Drosophila melanogaster: one gene and its partners. The protein of the gene in region 1 interacts with the protein of each later gene in a pairwise test. Each region holds a gene or a part of one and is shown on either strand. Other genes may lie near its edges.

Region 1 (6,044 bases):
ACAAAGTGCAGCATTTTCCCACGGCCAGTGTCAGACAGCCGTACACGCAATTTTTCAATGTTTAATGCCATACTGTTAAAGAGAAAACGGGAAAAGTGGCCTTGAAGTGGCAGTTCCCTTGGGGCAGGTAATGGGAACTTCTTGTCAGCCTACATACATATATCATCGAAGAGAAAGGCAGTTTCAAATATTTATTTACATTTAAATGAGAATAAACTAATGAAATACCTTTTCTTTTTACTTTACAGCATGGCTTTCAGGATTATAATGCTAGGCGAACAACGATTTAATGACGGACACTGGACATGAGCGAAAATTAAGCAAAAACAATCAAATGTGCATCAAACAATAACCCAGACTAACTGGGATGTGCTAGACCTTCCGTTCCTTAGAAAAATCTCAATGGCCATCAAGCTTAGCTTCGATCCATGTAGTATTTCCTTAAAGCACCTGTCGCTATTCCTATTTAAGATATACTGCTTGGCACTCATATTCCGAAGTGCCAGTGCCGATTGGCTATTGGACTGTGGAAACTGTCACTGCAAATGGAACTCTGGCAAGAAGACGGCCGACTGTCGCAATTTGAGTCTGAGTGGAGTCCCAGAGTACCTCAGTCCGGAGGTTCAAGTGCTGGATTTGTCACACAATCATATATTCTACCTGGAGGAGAACGCATTCCTCACGACCCACTTGCAAAATCTTCAAAAGTTACTCATCCGAAATGGCACCCTGAAGTACCTGAATCAGCGAAGTTTCACCCAACTGCAGATCCTAATAGAGCTCGACTTGTCCAATAATCTACTTGTCGACCTGCTACCCAATGTGTTCGACTGTCTTTCGAAAGTGCGGGCGATATTCCTGAATGGCAACCTGTTGCAAGCACTTCGCCATGGAGTCTTTCGTAATCTCAAGTATCTGCACAAGATCGAACTTAAGCGCAATCGCTTGGTTAGCATCGATGCCAAGGCCTTTGTGGGAGTACCACTTCTCTCGCAGATCTATCTGGACAACAATGAGCTGACCAAACTGAGAGTGGAGAGTTTCCAGGACTTGACTAAGCTCACAGCATTATCGCTGGTCGAGAATCCTTGGAACTGCACATGCGATCTTCAGATGTTTCGTGACTTCGTTATAGGCATGAACCTGTATACACCGCCCACATCCTGCCATTATCCTTTGCAGTTACGTGGTCGTCTGTGGATCGAGGATCAGCCGGAGGCGTTTGCCTGCAAGCCGAAGATTGTGTATCCAACACTCAGTACTTCCATCAACACTTCCAAGGAGAACGTAACGCTTATATGTCGCGTCCACGGATCTCCCAATACGGTTATTGCCTGGGATTACACCAATCAAGTATACGAATCCCGCTCCAAGCCGGTGAAAAGTCTGCAAAAGCAGCGCATCTACATAGAACTGTTGCGTGAGGATGAATCAAAGATTCGAAAATTCGGACATGATGTTTTTGTGTCACGTCTAACGATAGTTAATGCCCGTAAGAGCGATGAGGGCGTCTATACCTGTCTGGCGGAAAATCCCGGTGGCAAGGATTCGGTTCACATAAGTGTGGTGGTGCAAAAGGATATGGAAAGGATTTCCCTCATCGACAGCAACTTCTTTGCAATAGTCTGCCTTATAGCCATGGGTTTTCTCAGCATGTCGATTCTATTTTCGTTGGTAACATGCCTAATATTTAAGAGATTCAAGCAGTTCCATCCCGGCCAGCACACTTATTTGCAACCCACTAGTTTGCCCGTTCAGTCACCTGGCAGTGAAGAAGCCACCGCCATCAGCGCCCTAAGTTCTGGAGTTATAAGGGAAAGTAAAATAGTGCTGGATCCATTAAGTGCTATCAATGAACCATCAAATAAAAATTACACTTTATTTAAAACATCCAATTCGAATGGCAGCGAGTATATGCACACGAGAAATTATAAAGACGTGAGATTAAACAGCAACACATATACTGAAAATCTAGACAATCAGGCGGAATCCATTTCATCGCGGAATCGGGAGCTCTATTCAAATATAGCTGGTGACCGGGAAAAGGAAGAGCTCAAACAGAAAGGCAATAAAATGCCAAATAAAATTAGTGCTCAAATTTTAACTTATTCTTGTTTTTCTCCTACTTAGATGAGCTCGATAAGGATTCCCGGCAGAGTTCCTTGCAATCAACAGGCTGCTCAAGAAAGAAGGGACAAATCGATGAACTCCAACCGGACCTTTTGCCTTCCACTCAACCTACTGCCTTAAAAAATATTAATGAAACTTTCGGTCCATCAGCGAAAAAAGCAGAAGTTAATCCCCGAAGCAAGTACAATACCAATGTGCAAAAGTACCTAAAGGAGAAGTACGGCAGTGTTAGAATAAAGAATATCAGTACTAAAGAACCCATTACTGGTGTTGATATCTCAATATAATATATTAATGTTTTATAATATGGCATTTCCCACCATACACAGCTGCGAATCCACCGTAAACCCCATGCCATTGAAATTTTAGTCTTTGCCAGGATTTCAATTCATATCCAGCCCTACCTCTCTAAGACCTCCAGGAGATAGATGGACAAAGGAGATCCAGTCAAGAAGAAATATACCTCGCCTTATTTCTGGTAGTAAATTATGTATTTTAAAACGTTACTAATATATAAAAATATTTATTTACACAGTTCTAAGTGTTTTAACCCACGCACTTTAAGTGAAAGGAATGTAATAATAAAGTTTTAAGTGATGCCTTTAAATGAAAAATGTGTAGCTTACTTGAATTAATCTTATATTATCATCGAATTCTAAAAAGCATTTTTAGTAAATCGTTTGATTTTATTTACCTGACCCACTTTTACCGTACTCTACGTTCTATCATCCCTGACCTACCCCGAATTCATTCTTGTGTGTGCTACAATTCCCAACTGCTTCTGGCCGTTTGCTCATGGAGACCCTTTTCGTTTTCCGTTTCAAGTTATCGCTTCTCGGCCTTATGGCTAAGATCAAAGTGTAGTATCTGTTCTTATCAGCTTAACATCTGATAGTTCCTCCATTGGAGGACAACAAATGTTAAACTGATTTTTGGAATCAGACGGAGTGCTAGGGGCTTGCTCCACCTCTGTCGCGGGTTGGCCCGGTATTGCAGTACCGCCGGGATTTCGGCCCAACTGAATAATAAATATTTAACTATTATAAAATCAAAAGGATCTACTTGTCAACACAGTAGACTTTCAAAAGTTGCTAGTATCTGTCTATCTGTCTAGTTTCTTATCAAAATTATGTCGTTTTGGCAAGCCTGATTACCTACCACAATGACTGCGCCATTTACCTCGCGTACCAACCAGGCCGCCGATTCCGGCAAAGATCAATCTCCCATCCATGGATTGAGCCGGAATCGAAAGCGTCAGGAGAGGCGAAAGCAGCGCCTGCAGGAAATGCAAGATTTGCTGTACACGAAACACTTTTCCAACTACAGACTGCCGGCATCGGTGGCCGCGCCAGCTCCCGAGGATCAGCTGCTCCTCAAACTGCAGAACTTCGAATCGCTGACCGAGCAGCCGTCCAGCAGCAGGAAGAGCACTGCGACCACATCTAGCGATTCGCCGTGGAGCCGACTGCGCCTGGTGGCATGCCCATGTCACGGATGCCTATGCTCGGTTGACCCCAGCGCTCTGTTGGGTCACTATTTGAGTGACCATCTGCCGGGAATGGGAGTTCCGTTTTATGAACTGGAAATGGGCAAGCGAGTGTCACTAACATGTCATATTAGTAGCCTGGAAAGAGATGTCAACACCCTGCTGGGGGTCTATGGCTATCGGCGCACTGGCCTTAATCCTCTGAAATGTCACCGAAACACCCATCTGCCAGTGGAGTACCGCCGCTTCTCGCAGCATAGCGCCCTTATGATCTTCGCCTGCCGCACCATGCACTCGGTGCTGTGGGAAAGGAAGCGTGTCAAACACGAAGTCCTGGCCATCTGGGTGGCTACTCCTTTGCACGGCGTGGCCATCACTCTGCGCCTGCTGGTCCAACCTGCCAACCTGCCACGTTACTACACCAGACAGATAAAAGCTCGTCCAATGCTGCCACTGTCGTCGAACCAATCCTGCAGTGAGTTCATCAAGACCGACAGCAACGTGATCCTCATCAGCTTGAATGACCTCCGGCCACTAATGGATTTAGATGTTTGGCAGCAATCGCTAACCGTCGAACTGAAAGTGATTAGCGAGGCAAGTATATAAAACTTCCGGTTTTTTTTTTTTTTGGAATTCGCAATATTTTTGGCCATGTATTTAAGTCTAAGATTAAACAAGGAAACATAAAACTTGAACTCGCACTTACTATATGCATTAATAAATTAGGACAAAGTATCAGAGATTACATTTGATAAAAGCAGCTACTTCCTGATCCAGGCATCCTACTTCCGTTGCTGAATATATATACATACAAGTCGTACAAGGCTTTTCAATTCGGCAACAGTTTGGATAACATGCTATTCGTACAATTTTGTTGTTCCTCACACTTACATCGTACTTTAAAGGGAATTTACAAATTTTGAGCTTACATACATAAAATTTAGATTTTAAATATTCTACGTTAATGTGTTAGAAATATATAATTATGTGTATAACCTTATATCATTAAGGCGCATGTGCAGATATTCTAAAATTGTACTAGAAATCGAGAGAGCGGTGCGCTGAATCCTCAGGCAGCGTCGCTTCGCTTTTTACGCAACAAAAAATTAAAGCGCCATCATCAGGGGACGACATACTAAACAAGACAAACTAAATAAAACAAACTAAAAGAACGCAACTAGAAAATAAAAAACATCCGTCTAGTGTGAGAGGTCGGAATCTGGTTCCGGCTAGCCGGCCTTTTGGGTCTGTTTTTGGCGTTGAAGTGCCTCAAAGGCTTCGATTTCCTTCTTTTCTTTGGCCTGATTGCGACGCTCATATTCCAGTCGGTGCGAGATGATGCGCTCCACGATGCGCTCCGTGGTCATCTCGTTGCCGGAATCGATCAGCTCAAAGATGGCTCGCGTCTTGGGAACGGCATATGGATCGATCTTGCCATTCTCAAGCGCAATGGGTGTGCGTCCATGACAGACAACATCGATTTTGAAGTGCTCAAGCAGCTCTTCAGTGACACAGTAGGGAGCTCCGATTACTACCTCATTGACAAACTGGGGGAAAAAAGAAGTTTTAAAATGAGATAATATTTAAAAAAAAGAATCTATTGCAATCCTACCTTGCAGGCCAAAACACTGAGCACGCGCTCGTGCAGATTCATAATGGGATAGTTGCTGCCCTTGTAGGAGTTCACCACGGGATCTGTGTGCAGGCCAACAATCAGATAGTCACCCAGTTTCTTAGCCTTTTCCAGAAAGTCCAGGTGACCCACATGGAAGAGATCGAAGGCGCCAGCCACATAAACCTGCAAATACCGACAATTATGAATTATACATTATATACATATAATGAGGGCTAAACTTACAATCTTATCGCCGGGATTCGGTGACTTTCCATCACTGAACTGTATGATCTTTTGGGTAGTCGGCAAGAACTGACTACAACCGGTCCACGGACTTTTGGCTGCCGAATCTTGACCCATGTTCGAAGAACCTGGATGGGATTTTATTTGTCGTTTTAAAATTGACACTTTTTTTGTTTGTTTTGTATTGTAAAGCAACGCAGACAAATGAGCAAAAGTGTGTATTTAAGAGCAAAAATTTACGTTTAGGATTTGATTTCGATTTGGATTCGGATTTGGATATTTTGATTGCAGGTTGGTCATTGGGCATTCGGCATTTGGATTCATTTCGCGGGCGCGCACACGCACAAAACATTTAGCATAGTTTTCATAGGTTTCATACATTATATTATATTTTTGATAGTGGTTAACAGTGCGTACATAGAAATAAAAAGAAGAGAAATAGTAAAGTTGTAGAGGGCAACCATAAACCAAGGCGTTATTTGCGTTCAACTATGGCAAATTAAAAAGAATCTATTGGGGAAAATGCATAAACTAATCGTGCGTAGCCCATGTATAAACTGAATATATCTG
Region 2 (10,046 bases), on another chromosome or scaffold:
AATTTGAGGCCATCGCGCACACAATGCGATATCCTGCAGCGCGGACGAGCGCTGTGCGAAATTATTAAAAAGTAATTATGGCACAAATTACGAGATATCAATATAGCATTTAGCTCTGCATGCGGCCTCGAATGAAAGGACTTGGTCTGGTTCCTCTGTGCAGCCACCACCACTTGAATACGCTGCGAATCCTTCGGCTTCGACACATCCAGCCCATAGAGCTGCATTTCCTACACGGCTGTCTGGCACAATGCGATAGATTCCTTCTGGATTCCCATTGTTCTCCGGCTCCTTGGTCTACTTGGTCTCCTGCTCCTTGTCCTGCTCTTCACATGTTATGCAACATTTCCTGCGCTCGGCAATTTTGACATAATATCGAGATTATTATACGATTTGAACTCTGGCCCCTTCTTCGATTGTCGGGGTAGGTCGTCGAATATCCTCGATATTCGGCCCAAGATCGCTTTCATTTGACTCTGGCAAAAAGGAAAGGTCGAGTCGAGTTTTGTACACAATCAATTGTAGCATTTGAGCGATTCATAATGGATCTTTGTAGGGTCATAAGCCCTACTTAAGGTACAAACTTTTTGCGATTAATTTGCCGCGCGGCGGGTAGATCGGTGTATGTATGTATGTTGTGGAAAATTATAAAAGTCCTTCCCGTTAACGGAAGTTAACCGGGAGATTAATTTTGGCATTGAAAATGAAAATATGTGAAGAAGGCTAGAAAATTTGAAAGACCTGTTTACAAGGAATGTACAAAAGAAACGACACATCCTATGTTTTGTGTGATAACTTAAGATCACTTGACGTAAGATCTTTATAGTGAAATAATTCATTTCTTTGATCAACAATCTATCTTACTTTTTAGCATATCTTCAAACCAGCCATAAAACGCAACAAGTATCTTTTCATATCGTTTATTTCTCGACAGTTTAAACTTAGTGGATAGACTACCAAAATGTTCGCTCGAAGATCGCTTACAGATACATAATTCTTTAGGCATTACAACTACGTTAACTTTGGCAATCGACAAAGCTGCAAATATCTTACAGTGCGTGGGCTATGTGACCATGAATAAAACTAGATATCTACAAGTATGCGTGTATCTATATATGTACATAACGAATCCAAATATCACGGAACAGCGTTCAGTCCTCGCCCTTGGTGACCACGGAGACGGGTGTGGAGGCGTTGCTGCTGGCACCTGCCGCGCTGTTCGGCGATTGGGCGGCCGTCGAGATCAGTCCGCCCGTTAGCAGTCCGCCGCCTCCGTTGCCGCCCGCTGGGGGCGTGGCATGCGGCGGTGTGGGATGAGGCACTAGCTTGGGACTCTCGCGCGGACTGCTGTTGCTGCACGGCGGGCTAACTTGGCTCATCGCAGAGAGTCCTGCGTGCAGCGATAGATTCTGCGGATAGCCGGCCGATGCTGCCGCCGCTGCTGCAGCTGCTCCCGCGCCAAAGATCCCATTCAGATTGCTCAGGCCCATGTACTGGGAGAGCAGGGTGTGGAAGTTGGGCAGCTTGTAGTGGGGCGCCATCAGGTGCTGGGGCAGCAAGCCGGCGGCAGCGGCTGCAGCGGGATTAAAGTGCTGGTGGAGGGCAAAGTGCGGGGGCCAGAACTCCGACTGCATCGAGCCCGGATGACCCGGAAGTCCATGTGGCGGCAGGGGAATGCCCAGCGGAAACTCCGGCAGACCTGCAAGCGGAAGGCAAAAGGGCGATTTCGTTAGTCGAAAGTCAGAGAGAGCGGGTGGTGGCGGTGGTTATGGTGGTGAGACAAGCGACACAAGCGACATAATTCCTAATTATGTTGCACACGTAATTTGGCAATTTGCGGACAAATCAAATGCGTATCGCTGGTTGGGTGGGTGATGGCTGGGATTTGATGGGGTGGATTCGTGAGATGGGGGTGGTTAACTCACCTTGTTCGGGCAGAAGGTAACCGGCCTTGTCCTGATTCATAAACTTCTCACGTTTGCGCCATTTAGCCCGACGGTTCTGGAACCACACCTGCAAGTGCACGAAAAAGAAGGGAGTTTAGAGATGGAGTTGTAGGTATGCAAATTTTGGGTGCCCTCGGATTTAAGGCTATTATAAGCTAAAGGGGTAATAAAAAACATAAAATTATCTGATATATCATTTACCGAAGAGAGGATATGCCTTTTTCTGACTTATGTATACAACCTGTATACTTTTCAAAAACCAGCATACTTTTCTAAAGGGTATCTATCCCTCGATCTAAACTTGATTAGTTCTACAAAACTAGCGCCTTGGCAAGCGACTTGTAATTGCTTTGACTTTGACCAAAAACCGAACAATTTCCCAATCTATCAATCTGTGTGCTCGCAAAGTTGGAAGCACTTGGTCCTTGGATGGCTCCTTCTGCCGCCTCCAGCCTCGAGTGTCTGAGCCAAAGGACTTGGACGCCGTGGAGGGTTAGGTCAAATACAATGGCATCCAATCGGAAGTGTTCTGCTCTGATTTGCAACGCTCTCTGTCTGTCGCTACCCGTCTCGCTCGTCGGACAAAAGGGTGTCTTATGCATTTTTCGACACTTGCTTGGGTTTGGGGTGGACCAAACTCGCAGCCACCCAAATTCACCCCTATGCAAATGTGCCCCCTAGGCCATCCACAAAATAGGCGTTGGCTGCACATACATTTCCGCCTTTTGGGGGCGACGAATTTTCAGTCCGAGCCGAGGCTCTCGTTTTTGATGGCAAAATTAATTGTTTGTAAATTGAAATCACTTGACAACTGTCTGTAACGCTCGTTGATGAATTCGAGACAATAGAGAAGGCTCTGCAATTATAGACACCCTGTATTTAGATGTAACCCCCTTCTACGGCCACCCACAATCTGCAACAATGTGTGCAGTTGAGCGAGTAGTAAATTAGCAACGATTTCCTTGCTATAATTGCTGCCAATTATTGTCCTGTGTCCTGTGTGTGTCTCTGCTGAGAAAACGCCACCCACCACCCCCAACCCCTTCACAGCATAAGTGCTGTGTGTGTGTGCGATTTTGTGGGCTTTTTAATTGTCAGTTGGCAGCAATTATTATGGCAACAACTTAAACCACTGTGCCAGAGCAGCCAGGCAGTAAAAGTTGAATTGCGGATATCCGTTCAGCATTTATCACACATGTGCGATCAAAACGAGAGAAGAAACTGTCGCAAAAACTGGAAGAGGCGGTTTGTAAACTCAAAAAAAAAATGTGTACTTTAAAAAATTGTATAAGAATTCGTTATTTTGGATTTTCAAATGTGAAAGTTCTTTGCATATATTCCAATTAAAAAGACTGCATAAAGCGTTCAAAAACGCTTTGTTTCAACAATTTCCAGATTGATACAAATTCGCTTTCAATATTTTTTTCGCTTTTTTCGATACCCCAACTCGACAATAAAAATTTGACTTAACCCGGCAGATAAGTCGCTGGTTACTCCTTTTTTTTTCACCAAATGCCCCACACAACGAGCATGCAAATCCGAAAATAATTGCTCACTTACCAACCCCAAAACAAGCGGGGATTACGCTTTGGATACTTTTGTATCTATCAGCAGCTCAGCAAAAAAAATAACACATGTATTAAAATCGGGCAGCTCTAAGTCGGTTACTATTCAAGTACCCGAAACGCTCTGCATATGCGAATCAATGACCAATTACAGTTAATCTGCTAACAGATACGAATAAGTGCAAGGACGCGCAGGATGAGAATGCGGATGTGAGGATGTGAGCATGCGGATGACGACCGTGAAACGGACAATTTGTATTCGAAGCGGGTAATCCCTATGTGAGTGCTTAGGTCAAGTTGTTTCACATTCACATTCTCTTCACTTCTTGTTTTTTTTCACTTTTTGTGCCAGGCCATACTTTTCCCTGCTTTTTTATTCCCTGTCAACAAACAGCATCGAAATTGAGCGAATCGCTCAATCAGATGTGAAGTGTTTGAAAGCGTTTCACAACTGAAATCAAATCGTATGCGATTCGGGGCGAAAGGACACCCTAATTACATGTGTAGTCGGGTATATTTGGCCGCGTGTCCTGCCGCCAGTCAGCACCCAAAGCCACTTTAATTGTTTACCCGAAAGTAGAGTTAATAAAAATACCAACACCATGTGAGCGCGGACGATTTAATCATTTGGAAAATCACAATATCTAATGTCCTTGGTGCCAACCCTCTATAGAGAAAAAGGGACGCGTATTCACCCGTATTCAACCCTCCTCCGACTAACGAACTAAGCGTGTTTGTATACAAAGTGGGGCTTAAGTGTTTCAAAGACCATTTACAAATTGGGTTCGGCGATTGTTTTGCCCGTTCTTATCTAGCCATTCAAGTTCCCAGACTCTGAAAGTGGTTTATTCGCTTATTAGCGGACACTGCGATGGCAATATTTAAAGCCCATAGCCGTTAGATGAAAATACAGATACATTTTGAGCGAGTTGAACTGCAACTTAATTCGAAAATAATTGTGCGAATCGAAAACCAATTTCAATTACCTGCACGCGTGCTTCGCTCAAATCCAATCGCATGGCCAGATCCTCCCTTGTGAAAACATCGGGATACTGGGTCTTCTCGAAGGCTCGCTCCAGCTGATGCAATTGAAATGTTGTAAATGTTGTGCGAGATCTGTGAAAAATCGAAAGGAACGGCAAGGGCGGCACGTTAGATACGTCGGATAAGAGTTTGCCCCCCTCCTCTTTGTTGGCATGTTTTTTAATAGCCCGACAATGGGTAAATACGATTTGATCTGCTAAGCGGATTGTCGCTGCACTCACCTTCGAACTTTACGCGGCCTCTCCATATCGCTGAGATCATGGCCATTGTTCAGACTGGAGGACAGCTCGTCGTCGTTATCCACGTCCAGGCCGCCGTCCGTATTCGTTGGGGAGTCCTCTCGTTTGGCCTGAACCTGCAATTGTTGCTGCTGCTGCTGCTGCTGCGAATGGTGTTGCTGTTGCGAGTGCTGCTGCTGCTGCTGATGCGACAAGTGATTGCTGCCGTTGCTATTGCTGCTGTGCAAATGATGGATGTGATGCGGATGGCCGTGGTGGGGATGCGTAATCAGCACTTCGCTGGGTGTATCTGCGATAAAAAACAAAAAGTGGCAGGGAAATAAAGTTAAACAATTTCGAATTGAACTCGAGTGTGTGGGGAAACAAAAAGTTTCGCGTTTGACTTTTAAAATCGAAAGCCAAACGGCAGCTGCAGAAATTGAAGTTCATTCAATTGTGGCTGAAGTAGTTATATCCTCAATTTTAACCCCCTTTTTTTTGTACGGTCTCAGTCTCGAATAAAATTCAAATCCTTCAAGTGCTCGAAAGCTACGCAAATTGATTTGGCAATCAATAACAAATAAATATAAAGCCGGAATAAGTTTTAACCCCAATACCACGGCAGCGAGCATATAAATATCCTTTCACACGAAACGATTTGGTGAGTACTCAAAACGGTTTCTTTTCGAGCCAAGGCAAAACGTGTAATCAAACTTTAATGAACCTCAAATTAATCGGATTCACAATGGCACCAGGACACGTCCCCGCTCAGCAGGACGCCCGTGTCCTGGTTGTATCCTTATCGTATTTCGTAACATTTACGCAGACCCATGTGGCAAGAAGGTAATTTCCAGCGAGCATCAAATTACGAGGCTCACAGGATGCAGTGTCCTGCGGTGCGCACGCCGCTCGTTGTCGCCAAATTGCAACCTGGACCAATGGGTGCCGTGATTCCACTGAATCCAGCCCAGGCAATTTCCAGCCTCCACCTCTCCCGAGGACTTCAATCTAATTACGGGTCTAATGACGCAATTGCCCGTTCCCGCTCTCCATGCGATATATCCGGCCAGATATGTTTTGATACAGTGTTTTTTTTTTTCTTCTCAAGTAGATCCTTGGGCGAACTGCCTCCTGCAGCTTGGCCACGCCCACAACAAGAGTTCCGACATGCCGAACAACTCCCATTGTCATGATATGTTTTCTTTTTGCTCTCTGGGTGGAGTTCGAGGTCGGTGTTTGTCGGAAAGTTTTGAACTGCCCTCATTCACCTTTCCCAACTATGATAAAATGTCCCTTGCGAGCAATTTGCATATGATATGGATGGCAATGTCAATCTGCCTCTCCACTGCTCCGGCTCCTTTGCGAAAGGATCTATTTGATGTGGTCAGTGGAGTAGGAGGACGGTTCGGATTTTGGAGCACCAAATTTGGGGGGGGAGCCCATTGGCTGTGCATGAAGTCTAACGTGATATTTTGCCCTGCTGGTGGTAAGTTGTAACGCATTCAGGATGTTTTCATTATGTTTAAGATGTGTGTGAGAAATATTTCAAAGCTGTAATTAACAAGCTAGACTAACTAAATAGGTCGTAATCAATTCAAATTATACATTCAAATTTAGAATTTTTAATTCGTTTACGCCTGCCCATAGCTATTCACAAATTAATTTTGATATTGGATTTTTTAAATCAAACTAAGCTAAACAATTTATTAAGATTCTCTAAGAAAATGCAATTATTGTATCTTGATTATGTTTCCTTTTAAGCTTTTTGTGTGATGTACTAAGAAACTCTAACGCAGATCGCCGACGGCAAACGATGAATTTTTGTAAAAAGGATCCCCTTACATTTACATTCCAGTAAGTTATCCCCAGTTTATATTTGTTAAACTAAAACTCACCACTGCGCTTGATCTGGTGCTGATTGCCCAGGATCTGATCGATGCTGTAGACGGCGCGGGGGCGTGAGACAGGACTCTCCTGAACGGGGGCGGGGCGCATGGCTGGCGGCATGATTGGATGGTGCTGATGGTGCTGCGAGGTCGTCGTGGTCATCATAGCTCCACCAAAAGAGCAACTCGCGATCCGTACGGATTTCTATTGGTTTACTTCACTTGCTACAAGTTGGTTTTTTCTTATTTTGTTAGCGATTTTCCAGATTTTCGTTTTTGGCAACTTTTGTTTAATGTCACAATATTTGTTGAGCACGCTTTGAAAATTAGCTTAATTAATTGCTATTATCGGGTAAATTTGTCGATTAAACGATGCGATTTCGATACGGAATACGGAACAGCCACTGCGACGAACTGCAATGAGCTGAATCGAATCGAGTGAATAACTGCGAGTGAGTAGTGCTCGTGACGATCAACAACCACCGACTGAGTGCGATTCCTGCCGCCCGTAGGTTTAAATACGTTGCCTGTTTTTCGCTAGCAAGTGAAATGGGCGAGGCTCGCTCGCTCGCTCTCGAATCCGAATCGGAATCACAGTTCCCAATCCTTCGCTTTCGCCCATGTCCTGCCATGCCAGCCGTCTCTTTCGTTCGCACACGCTCGCTCTCTCCCTCTCTCTCCTGCTGTAGGGGTAGTTTCCCCCAGTATCTCAGTATCTCAGTGCCGTGTATCTGTGTGTTGGGTTGGCTCGCTCGGTGTGTGTGAGTTTGGGTTGCAGGTAGCTTTTGGTTTTGGCTTAGGGGTGTTGGCCTCCTCCACTCTCTCTCTCTCTCTGTCTCTCTTTTCAAATCTCTCTGGTACTTTTCCTTGACACCTTTCTCTTTCCTACCCATTTAATGCACTCTCTTTCGGTAGTTGTAACTAACATGGTTTGCTCATTAATTGTGTTTATTTCACAAATTTCGCTTGTTAAAAACTATTTCACCCTTCCCCCTCTTCCTTTATATATATCTCACTCTCTCTCACAGTAGTTTCCTCTCCCTCCCGTTTCCCGGCTCATCCACAAATCACAAAACAGGTTGAACCACTCACGGGATTGCCAAACTGGTACCTGAATCAAGTCGGCCATTTGCCAGGTCCTCTTTTATTAGTTCCGCTTCCATTTCGGCGATAGATTTATGGCCAGGATCCCCGTGATCTTGAGAATGAGCCCGTGGTTTCATTGAACAAGCCAAACGATCAATGAATCCCTTTACTTAGCAAGGAACTGTGGCAGGATCGAAACCTAAGTTCATTGATTAAACTGATCTCATCTCGAAGGATTTCGGCCGCATTGAATTTCGTTAAAAGCAACAGGTACAGTGCGGAACTGATTTCACTAATGAGTATTCAAATCATTTTAATTAATAGCCAGTGCATAAATACATAATAATAATAATACATAAATAAATTTAATACATATATTTATCTAAATACTATGAAGATTTCCTACCAATCTTATATTTTCTGCATGTTTCCTTTTAATGATAAAAATGTAATATTTTAAGTAGCACCAACCAAAAAGGATCTAAAAATATGTAGGCCCTGGTTTTGCTACGATTAAATAACCGAAAATAGCTCAGCCTTGTTTAAATCACCCACTTAGATCTGGGATTTGCGTTGAGCTTCAGTTTAGACAGGGCTCTCTATCCAAGATTTAGTCCAGAACCCTGGTCCACCCACAGGTTGCATAACACAAAAGGATGCCAAAAATGGCCAAAAGTGGTTCCCGAAAAAAGAAAAACCATCTAATGCCCGAAGGATACATGGTGTGCTAAAACGCCGGCTACAATGATAACAAAGCAGGGACCGGGATTTATGGTCTCTAATTTGTCGAAACTTACACAATTCCTTTGTGCCCCGAACCCAAACAAAGCCAAGGATCGCGGCACCTTCAGCCGGGAAAATCGGGAAAAGTGCACACGTAATTTCCGCGAAAACTGTGAACAAGTAAGCGGGACAAAGCGTTGACCGGACTCATTAATGTGCCAGATGCATGACGCCACAGGACACGGGGACTCAACAGGACGCAGGATTAGGTTTAGTCTGCCGAGGCGCTTAATCATATTTTCATAGGACGCATTCCCTATGCAGATTTCATTCAGCAATCCGATTGCATGTTCGTTTAATTTAGAGCTGCAGAGGGCATCTCTCGAGACTTAGGATTGCGTTCCTGCCCAGATCATACAGCCTCGGAATCTCTAATCTAATGTGGAATGCATAGTGCTCGCCGGCCACCAAAATTTATGCAGCATCATCAGCGCACTTAGTCGTAATCGCCGGCTCATTAGGACTGCTAAACAGAAGAAAAAAGGGCTCCTTCCTCACTAATTGCCGATCCTCAATCCAGCCCAGGACATGCCCTTTTTTATCCAAGGGCAATCTGATTGCCCATTTTGGATTGAAGATACGAGGAATTAGTTCTTAAGTAGCTATAATTCGTTAGGTAATCTCTTATCAAATGGTTTATATTTTGATGGGTGATTGAGAAAGGCTAAATAGTAGTCTTGGAAAATCATCAGTACATATATTTTTATTAGGCAAATGCCTTACCCAACAATAGCACATTATAAATTTGATGCGCTTGAGTGTAAGTAATTGCGAATCAATATTGTCGCTTTACAGGACCTCTTCCTCCCATCCAAGCTCAACTTGTCTGTGCTCTTCAACACTTTCAATTAATTTAGCTGTAGGAGCCATTCTTACAACACCCCGCCCCATGCAACCGAAAGCCATTTAGGCCAAGTGTGAAATGACAAATTGAATCAAAGCCAAACTCAAACTCAAACTCATTGAAGACTGCACTTCATTGTAATTTCTAAATTAGCACATCTATTTGGGGCCGGAATGGGGGGCAGTCAGAAGATATCCTCCAGCTGCGAGTCCTCTCGCAGAATTCTCTCTGGTCGAGAGATTCTCTCGGGACATGCGCAACGCTGGTGAAAGCTCATTGGATGTCCCGGCATTTCACTCACACTCAGGGAATCGAAGCCAACGAGGTCATTATCGTGTTACCCCCTCCGCCAGCAGCCCATCCAACCATTCACCACACCCATGCCACCCACTTCGCCCACACCACCCACTCCGCCCCCTTGGCAGCAGCTGCGTGTAAACACATTGTGGCAATTCTCTCTGGTGCCATGACTGTGTTCACCTTTTAATAAGGTTAACTGCGACGACGACAACAACCCACAAACACCCACTTTTCACAATAGAACCAGTGGAGGGGGGGGGAGGGGGTAGATGTGGTGCGTGGGGGAAAAGATGCTGTTGGCAACATTTTTCTTAACCATTAAATCTAATATATCAAAGTAATAAAATGAATTTCGCTCGTTGTGTGGGTGCAAA
Region 3 (8,855 bases), about 12 Mb from region 1:
GTCAAGAAGCAAAAGAAGGAGTACACCCCATTCCCGCCCAGCCAGCCGGAGAGCAAGGTGGACAAGCAGCTGGCCAGCGGAGAGTACTTCCTCAACCAGGAGCAGAAGCAAGCGAAGCGCAACCAGGAGCGCACCGAAAAGCAGAAGGAGGCGGCCAAGCGCCAGGACGAACGCCGAAACAAGGACTTTGTCCCGCCCACGGAGGAGTCAGCTGCTTCAAGTCGGAAGAAGGAGGATGGCTCCTCCTCCAGCAAGGTGGACGTGAAGGCCCTGAAGGCCAAGCTGATCAAGGCCAACAAGAAGGCGAGGAGCAGCTGATAGTTTTCCTAGTTTTAATTAGTAGTAGGACCTATTCAATAAAAATTGATTTTCTGAGCAACGTGTAAATAGAAATCTTAAGGTTTACTAATGGGATGAAAAGTTTGTGGGGACGAACTCGTATTAATTCTAGTTGTTTTTAAAAGCCAATCTCCAAAAATGCAATGGATACATAATGCTAATTCAGCATATAACATGCTGAATACCTTATACTTGTAATAAAATTAAATTAAATACTTATACAATAATTTTGATTCTATTGCGGTGCCCGCTAGTGTAGAGAGAGATCTCTTTCTCTCCCTCTCTCTCTCTGTCGCACTCTCTCAACAAGTGGCTTAATACAAATATATACAAACAACTCAAAAGGCCAGCGAATGAGCCAAGTTAGTACGATTTCTGGTACCGGACTGACATGTACTAACCGCGCTTAAACAGCGGATGACGCTCGCGTGCGTTCCACAATAACAACAAAAACAGTATCTGAAAAGCCACGGCAACAACAACATTGGCGTCGCGGGGCTATTGTTATTCGTACGTTTATTTTCCGCAAGCGACAGAAAAATAGAAAATAGAAAAACGGTCTGTGAGAATCAAAAAGAACGGAGCGAAAGAAAGCCGTCTTAAAAATAAAAATCAAAGAGGAGCGAGAAAGCACTAGACCAAAGGCGGCGGCTGCCAGAAAAGGACGGAGAGAACGGCGAAGACAGGTAATAAGGAGGTGGAAGAAGAAGAGAGGATTAAGTGCTGGACTACAGTTACTTTTAATGTTTGAATTAAAATTGAAACAATGCTCGAGTGATCGCAGTTGTAACGCCTAAAACCGAAGCTAAACCCGAAAATAAGCCCGAAAGCCAGTTGAAATGCCAAGCAAACGTGACAGAGACTTGGATTATTCGTGCTAATTAGAAAAAGAATGTGCTGCTAGGTGAGAGGATGATATCGAAATGCTAACGTGATATCGATACCTGTGTGTTGTGCGTGTGTGTGCGAAGGGAGTGTATACACATACATATGAATATCACACATTTCACCGGAAAATGCGGTCAATTAGAATAATACATACAGCGAATTGAGCCTGTGTCTGTGAATTAGTGAATGAATTGAACAAAGCATTGAAAATCAATACGAAACCTGCCGCCGCTCCCACTTTTGTACATACAGTAATGCGTCGGTGAAGTAATACTCGATTGCGGGAAATCTGGAACATATACTAAGTTCAATCATTTGAAATTGGTTAGATTATTAATTTAAATAATTGCCTAAAGAGCTTCAAGGATGTTATTTTCAATTAGATTACTTATTTGAGGGTCCACTGTATATCCGCGCTCGCACATTACTGTGAAGCCTCACCTGTGTGAGTGCGGCTTATAGGCGACGTGTGTGTGTGTGTCTGAGAGAGGCTCGTGGAATATAAACAGCGCACAGTGAGAGAGGAAAACGGAAAACAGGTGGAAAAGAAAGCTTAAAAAATGCGGTCGGTCAAAAACTAAAGTTGCAGCAACAGGCGAGGGGGTGGCGGGTGCCGGGGGGCTCGAGACACGGAGACAAATACCTTTTCAAGCCGCACACACCAGCGCAAGCAAAGACGTCAGCTTATCTGCCACGCATGCGCGCGAGGGGGACGACAATAGTGTGGATCGGGGTGTCGATGTCTCTCCACCCCCCTCCAGCCCACCACCATCTAACGAGCGGGTTTCCACCCAAAGAACAGCAAAAACAACTATTGTCATTTGTTGTTTTGCCATTTGCTTCGTAAACCAAAAAGTATGCGAGATAAAATAAAAAAGCAAGTGTACCGCACGCCGCCGTTTTATCTAAATCCCAGCTGTCTGAATTATTTGAGGCTCTAACACCCCATCTCACGCTTATCAGGACCCAATTAATTATCTTCACCTGAATGGAAGCTATGCTTGGGGCATGTCTCCAGGTTTATGGTTCTTGTCGGGGAGTTCTTAGATACCAGTGCAGTTATGTATCTTAGATTGCCTTACCGAGGCTTATAATTTTCCCCTATTTACAGATGCATAGATACATATGTGTGGATTGCAAATATTTCAAGATTATAGAAGTACAAAAGTAGTAATACTTATATTATAAACATATATGTATTTCATTTAGCATAATGTTTTTGTAGATGTTTATGATGACTTAACTTAACTTCAAATCACCCAGCAGCTTTAGTACTTTCTCTAAAGCATGATTTATGCAAGCCCAACTATTTCCATGTTACCCAAGTGCGATAATGTTTATCGCGTTTCGTCATTGGCCTCTAAGCTGCTGTAGAGTTAGGAGCGAAAACACAAATCTGTCAAATTCCACAAGTGTGATGCAATTTGGGGCTTGTACGAACAGTAAAACGCTGAAATATAACACAGCGGCGCAACTTAACGAAAACAAAACATTTCCAGGGGTGTAGTGGGTCAGTGTTTTCTTTTTTACGTGCACTTCGCTTGTTTGTTTACTGCGATTTTGGCTTGTACAAGATCGTAAGCAGATAGTGCCTCCAGCTGACCCCCTCTGCAGTTTCTCTTTCACCTGTTTGCAAGTACACAAGCACCCAACACCCCCTTTCCCCTGTCCATTGACCCTGCGACACTGCTGGATTGATACACTGAAAACAATCGACAAACTTGGGGGTGTTTCTATCATGGAAAATGTTGTTAACATTTAAAAATGGTTAGAACTACATTCTAGAGACTTTCTCGCCATAGGATTATTATAATGATTTTCAATATCTTTATAAAAACAGTAGCGATTTTTGCTTAGTGTAGATAGGTATGCGACACCGCTGCCCGCGTCGCAGTCGGCGTCTGAGCCCAGCCTAAAACAGCGGAAAAGTTGTTGCTGTCACTTGAGTCGAGGGAGCGGTTTGGATAGAGTCTGCGAGGGTTAGAGCGAGAGGGAGCGAGAAAGTGTGTTTGCAAATCTCAGTTTTACGTGTGTGTGTGTGTCTTTTGCAGGTGTGTTCACTGGCTACACAGAAAAAATAAGAGAGATTTATCCGAGTGTTGAAAAGAATGTTACTGTGACATAGAACCATAGTTGGCCTAATTTTTGAAGATAAGAGCTATTACTCTACAATTACTCTCTATTACATCTACAATGCAATACAATTTGCTGCTGTTAATACAAATAAGATGAATATAATCGGAAGTAAACTATCCAAAGATATTCTCTGTGTAGTCAAAGTGGAGACACCGAGCTTAGAGGAGAACCTGGGGAAGTGGAAGTAGCGCGATTTTTGAATTCCAATGCTGATCCAAGCCAACAACGAAATGTTAAAGTTTGAGAATAATTGCGGCCATGTGCGGATCGCTTGGAGTGTGTATGCCAACGCTAGTGGAGGCTTGGAATCGGAATGCGGTCTGAGTCAGAGACGATTGGCTGCGCAATATCCAAGTGGCTTGGCGGGATTAGGGGCCTTCGGATGCAGAGGGACTTAGTCTCAGCTGCACAAAATAAACACAGCATAATGATCTAACACATACTTTAGGACCAATTTTCGTATTCGACACTCATAAGATTTCAGCTCGAAGACTCGGTCAGCGGAGGCTTTAAGGTCTTGAGAGACCAAATTGGGAACCAGACTTCCAAGGGGCTTAACCACACCCCTGCCAATAGGAAATTTAGTTTTGGGAATACTATTCTAATCAAGTTAAACATGTTTTTCGACAGCAGTCACGATATAATGTTTTAGTCATTGGAATAAGCGATTAAATGGGATTATTAAAAGCATACACATAATTCTAAATATTATTTTCAAATGACGATAGTTCAACTCGACCTAAGAAGCAAAAGTATAAGTTGGTAACGATCAAAACTTTTAATCAATGTTTAAGCTACTAAGTTCATCATTTAAACGGTAACTTATATTTTAAACGAATCAAAGACCGATATACAAAATTGTTGACGATGATGATGATGTGAAAAAATTTTATTTTTAGACGGAGCTTCAGACGTCGATCGAAGCCTGTACCGGGATTGGGAGACACCATGGTGAACCACCACTCGAACGGAGGCGGCAGTGCTGGAAACAGTAGCGGAAGCCTAAGAGGAGGCGGTGCCCATGGAGGCGGCGGCGGAGGAGGAGACTATTCCGGAGACGATCGCAGCGGAGGCGGCGAGGAGCGGGAGCGTCTGGAGAGTGACTTGCACGACAAGCCCACCTACCTGCTGGAACACCTGGCCACCTTCACGGTCAACAAGGAGTCCGGCATTGTGTATCCGGCGGACGGAATGCGTCGCCTCCTTCAGCTGGAGAAGACCACGGGTATTTGGTCGCAGAAGATGCAGCTCTGCCTGGACTATCAGTGGGTGCTAATTATGGACTATGAAACAGGGGTACGTTTCACAAACTGGGAAAGATCCTTATGGAACTCATCTTCATCCTTGCCTTACAGAACATAATCGAAAGATTCCCCGCCTCCTTGGTTCAGGAGCCCACCGCATTCACCTCGAATGACGCCATGGAGCTATACAACAACATTCTGGTCTTTATCGTATCCGGAGGCGGTGGTTCTCGCTCCGAGATGCACATATTCCAGGTGAGAATTAGTGAGGCTTCTGTCTCATGACAGTTTCATTCAAATGATTTATCCCTGCAGTCACAAAGTGTGTCCGCCGTTCACCTGGTTGAGGATCTGAAGCAGCTGAGAAGCGGCAAGATGATAACGCAGCAGCGCGGTGCCACACCCACTCAATCAGGAGGCGGAGGAGCCTCCAGCATGGCCATGATGATGAGCAAAACCTCCTCGTCCTCGTCGCATAGTAGAGTGGAGCTGCACCAGCACAGGGAGCAGCGGGCAGAGCGCGAGAGGGAGCGTGATCGAGACCGTGAGCGCGAAAGCCACCATCACATGCACCAAAGGAGCAGCATGGAACAGTATGGAATCCGTGCCGGAGTAGGAGTTTCTGGCGATGACGTTGCCCACATTAGTGGCGAGACGGATTCGGAACACGGTGGGATTGGGGGCGGTGGCGCAACGGAGCGCGATGAGACTAGCTCCACGTCCAGCGAGAAGTACGAGCGGGATGTGGCTGTGCTGAATCACTGTTTCGATGACATCGAGAAGTTCATAGCTCGTCTTCAGCACGCCGCCGCCGCTTCCCGGGAGCTCGAGCGCCGTCGTCGCAATCGGAAGTCGAAGAAAAGGGATCCGGGGGAGGGATTGCTCACTTTGAGGACACGGCCTCCCCACGAGAAGGAGTTCGTGGACATCTTTGCCAAGTTTAAGCTGTCATTTAACCTGCTGGCAAAGTTGAAGGCGCACATCCACGATCCCAACGCTCCCGAACTGGTGCATTTCCTCTTCACGCCGCTGGCTCTGATTGTGGAGGCCTCCAGCGACACGTACTACGAGTCACAGCTACCGGCCCGTGTGGTTAATCCCCTGCTGACCAGAGAGGCCATCAACCTGCTCATCAACTGTGTAACCAGCAAGGAAACGGAGCTGTGGCGCTCGTTGGGCGATGCCTGGGTGATCCCGCGAGATCAGTGGAAGGATGACGTTGGATCCTACCATCCGGTCTTCCTCGATGGCTGGTCACCGGACTATTTGATCAACGATGAACTGGAGCCACCACCAAATTCCCCGCCCGCTCATGTGAGCAAGCGCAGACTCGAGGTCCAGGCTGGATCCGGACTAAATGGTCGTGGGGGAGGCGGATACGATGACTACGACTCGGGGAACGGGATGAACATGGCCATGGGTATCGAGAAGTACACCATCCACCACGGCAACGACGGTTTAAGGGAGCGGGAAAGGGAGCGCGACAGAGAGCGGGCGGGCGCAATCAGTGCGTCTGACTTTAACGCCCGCAGCGAGCTGTCGTTCGACTCGATCGAAGGCAGGGGCGGCGGAGCAGCGGGACATGGCCATGGTCATGGCCACGGACCAGGAGCTGGACCAACCCTTAGCGCCATCACAGCTGGTCTGCAGAATCTGCATACGAGGGAATCTCGCAGTGGAAACGGGTACGGAGCAGGAGCTGGTCCGGGGCCTTCGTCGGAGTTGGGCGGTGGAGGCAGAGGCCTGCCGAATGTCAGCGACGACCAGATGCTCGAGTCCTGGCTGGAGGATCTGCAGGCGACGGGCGCTAAGATTGTGCTGGTCACCTATCCGCGAACCGCCAACAACGACAAGGAGCTTAGCGTGATGCGAGGCGAATACTTGGAGGTAAGGCCAGCACCCACGTTACCATCCTTCGTTCTGTCCTATAACCATCTCTTCGAAACTTTAGATCCTTGATGATACCCGAAAGTGGTGGAAGGCGCGCAACATGCGGGGTCAGGTGGCCCACGTGCCGCACACGATTGTAACCCCCTTCAATTTCGGGGATGGAGATGGAGCCCAGTTCTACGGGCAACAGCAGCAGCCACCGACGGGTCCCACAGGTCCGGGCAACAAATCGCGATCAGGGGTGAGTAAGGCTGGTCACTCAATTCATGATGGGACTTGCTAACCGCTCTACATTACCCAGGATAATCCCGGCATGGAACAGCGATCGCCGGATCCCACCGACATGATGCGCAGCAAGCATCTGGGCAAGAAGGGCGAGTTCCGCTACTTCTAGGATCGAGATGCGATCACCATATACATATACACATATTCCGTAGTGAGGATCTAGCGTTATAGAGAGACAGACATCAGCAGTTCCGTCTAGGATGCTAGTCCTGGTCACTAGCGATCGGATTGGCTCCAATACCTTGCACTCGCTCGCAGGAGTGTGCAAACCAGAACTAACCTTAAGACTAACCTAAGTGGAGCTCCAGACGGGAGCTGTTGAGCAGCACGTGGCTCCTGCTGAGGCGGATGCTTAAGCTGATGCTCATCCAGGCGAAAAGGGGAGGCGACGGCAATAATTTGTTTTAATAAAATTATATCCAAAGGAACCTGCCTATTGGTTGATGATTATTGAGGAGATTGTAGTTTGGAGAGCTGCTTTGCTTTATTTGGATGCTCACAAGAAGAAGTTAACTGGTGCTGTACGGTGATCAAAGCCAACGATTGAACAAAGAGCATACTACGAGAACTCGAATCGATTAAATGATGGACAACTTCTCCACGCGGGCCAGAAGCGGAGAATCGGAGTGGTACTCCAGGCTCCGCACGGCGAAGTCGCCCACTTCGTTGGTGAAGCACTTCAGAGTGGATATGGAGAAGGGGCGTCCGGGAAAGTTGTAGTAGGTGAAGTACTGCCCGTTGACGGCGATCAGGAAAGCCCGATCCCCGAGCCCAAAAGCGATCTTGAAGAGCTTTCCGCGCACAAATGGGAATTCGCCCTCGGTCTCCTCGTCGCTCAAGGCAAAACTAGAATAAGTGAGTAAAGGTGAATTCTCTTGGAGGAACTTTGCATATTGGAGTCTCGGACTCCTTTATACCTGTTGTCTTCACGCTGGTAGCTGCGTGACACGGTTGTCCGATCGAAGTTCACGTGGAACCGGAGCACCGTACGCCCGGTGTCGTTGCACTGGAAGCAGATGGAGAACTCCGTGGTCGGCGGGCCCTTGGCGATGCACTCCATGGCCACCACTGTGCCGGTTTCATACCGCCTGGGCACGTCGCTCTGGAAGGCCACCTTGTCCGGACACATGAGCGTTCTGGGGAAGACGAGCGGAAAGAGCATGCGGTGGTGGAACTGGGTGATCTTCTCGAAGTCGCCGTAGGTGCGCACGTAGTTGATTTGCTTGGGGAACTTGACGAACTCGAAGGACCCGTACAGCTGGTCGTTCACGTAGATCTCGAAGCATCGCTGCAGCACCGCCACCCGGAAGGTGAAGCTCTGGCCAGGCTGCAGCGGGTTCTTTGGGCCGTCGCACTTCCAGTTCTTCGAGATCTCCTCCTGCTGCCATCCCCCGCCCGGCTGGAACATGCTGCGGATGATTTGGCCCTCGCGGAAATTGGCCTCGATCTTCAGGAACACCGTTTCGCTCTCGTTCTGCGCGTTCACATTGTCCGTGAGGTCCAGCGAAATTCTGTCCGTAATTCGAGAGGTGTCATTAGTAAAAAGTATTAGATATGGATTGGGAGGATACTCGGCACTCCCCCAAACTCGCTAAGGATACCCATTTCATTTCTGCAAATCTCTGTCACAGCTTTATAAGCCTTTCGTTGGCATTAGAACTGCATTGTTTTGTCAATAATCGGATAATTCGAATACCATTTATACTTAATCTCTTTTTACTTTTTGAACTAATTGGTTTATTTCATTTGGTTAATTTCATTTGGTTAGAAAATCAGCTTCTACATTTGACCTTTGACTTTAACCCAGATCAAAGCGGTATTCTTTTAGTGGAGAACCGGGTATCCAAACTATGAAAGATGATTACTTATTCGGATGAGGCTTGACGCGCCCACTGACGATGAGGACGTGTCCGAATGGGACCTCCGTTAGGACCTTTGCTTTCCAAACGTTCATCGCGGCTCCACGGCTCCACTGCAACTGAGTCGACGAGTGCGAATCCTCGATGGAATCCAGCCGGATCCGGCGCCGTTTTATGCGCCCTTATGCTAATAGATTCGCCATCCGTCGCCTTT

What was found.
Region 2: the proteins of CG15482 (region 1) and hbn interact in a two-hybrid assay, tested with the Drosophila melanogaster proteins (one large-scale study listed by BioGRID).
Region 3: the proteins of CG15482 (region 1) and aru interact in a two-hybrid assay, tested with the Drosophila melanogaster proteins (one large-scale study listed by BioGRID).

Annotation. Positions count from the first base shown.
Region 1 is NT_033779.5:13,209,030-13,215,073, reverse strand, and holds CG15482 (uncharacterized protein), read left to right. Parts: upstream 1-3,259; 5' UTR 3,260-3,292; coding exon 3,293-4,222; 3' UTR 4,223-4,301; downstream 4,302-6,044. Other genes in the region: kek4 (kekkon 4), read left to right, coding at 403-2,065, 2,131-2,417; Pect (phosphoethanolamine cytidylyltransferase), read right to left, coding at 4,846-5,163, 5,229-5,414, 5,475-5,638.
Region 2 is NT_033778.4:20,953,763-20,963,808, forward strand, and holds hbn (homeobrain), read right to left. Parts: upstream 7,148-10,046; 5' UTR 6,826-7,147; coding exon 6,669-6,825; intron 5,084-6,668; coding exon 4,777-5,083; intron 4,628-4,776; coding exon 4,498-4,627; intron 2,014-4,497; coding exon 1,926-2,013; intron 1,700-1,925; coding exon 1,152-1,699; 3' UTR 906-1,151; downstream 1-905.
Region 3 is NT_033779.5:860,202-869,056, reverse strand, and holds aru (arouser), read left to right. Parts: upstream 1-3,195; 5' UTR 3,196-3,230; intron 3,231-3,996; 5' UTR 3,997-4,148; coding exon 4,149-4,180; intron 4,181-4,262; coding exon 4,263-4,659; intron 4,660-4,718; coding exon 4,719-4,862; intron 4,863-4,922; coding exon 4,923-6,494; intron 6,495-6,558; coding exon 6,559-6,738; intron 6,739-6,798; coding exon 6,799-6,891; 3' UTR 6,892-7,208; downstream 7,209-8,855. Other genes in the region: dbe (dribble), read left to right, coding at 1-318; CG13950 (uncharacterized protein), read right to left, coding at 7,361-7,628, 7,700-8,293, 8,648-8,736.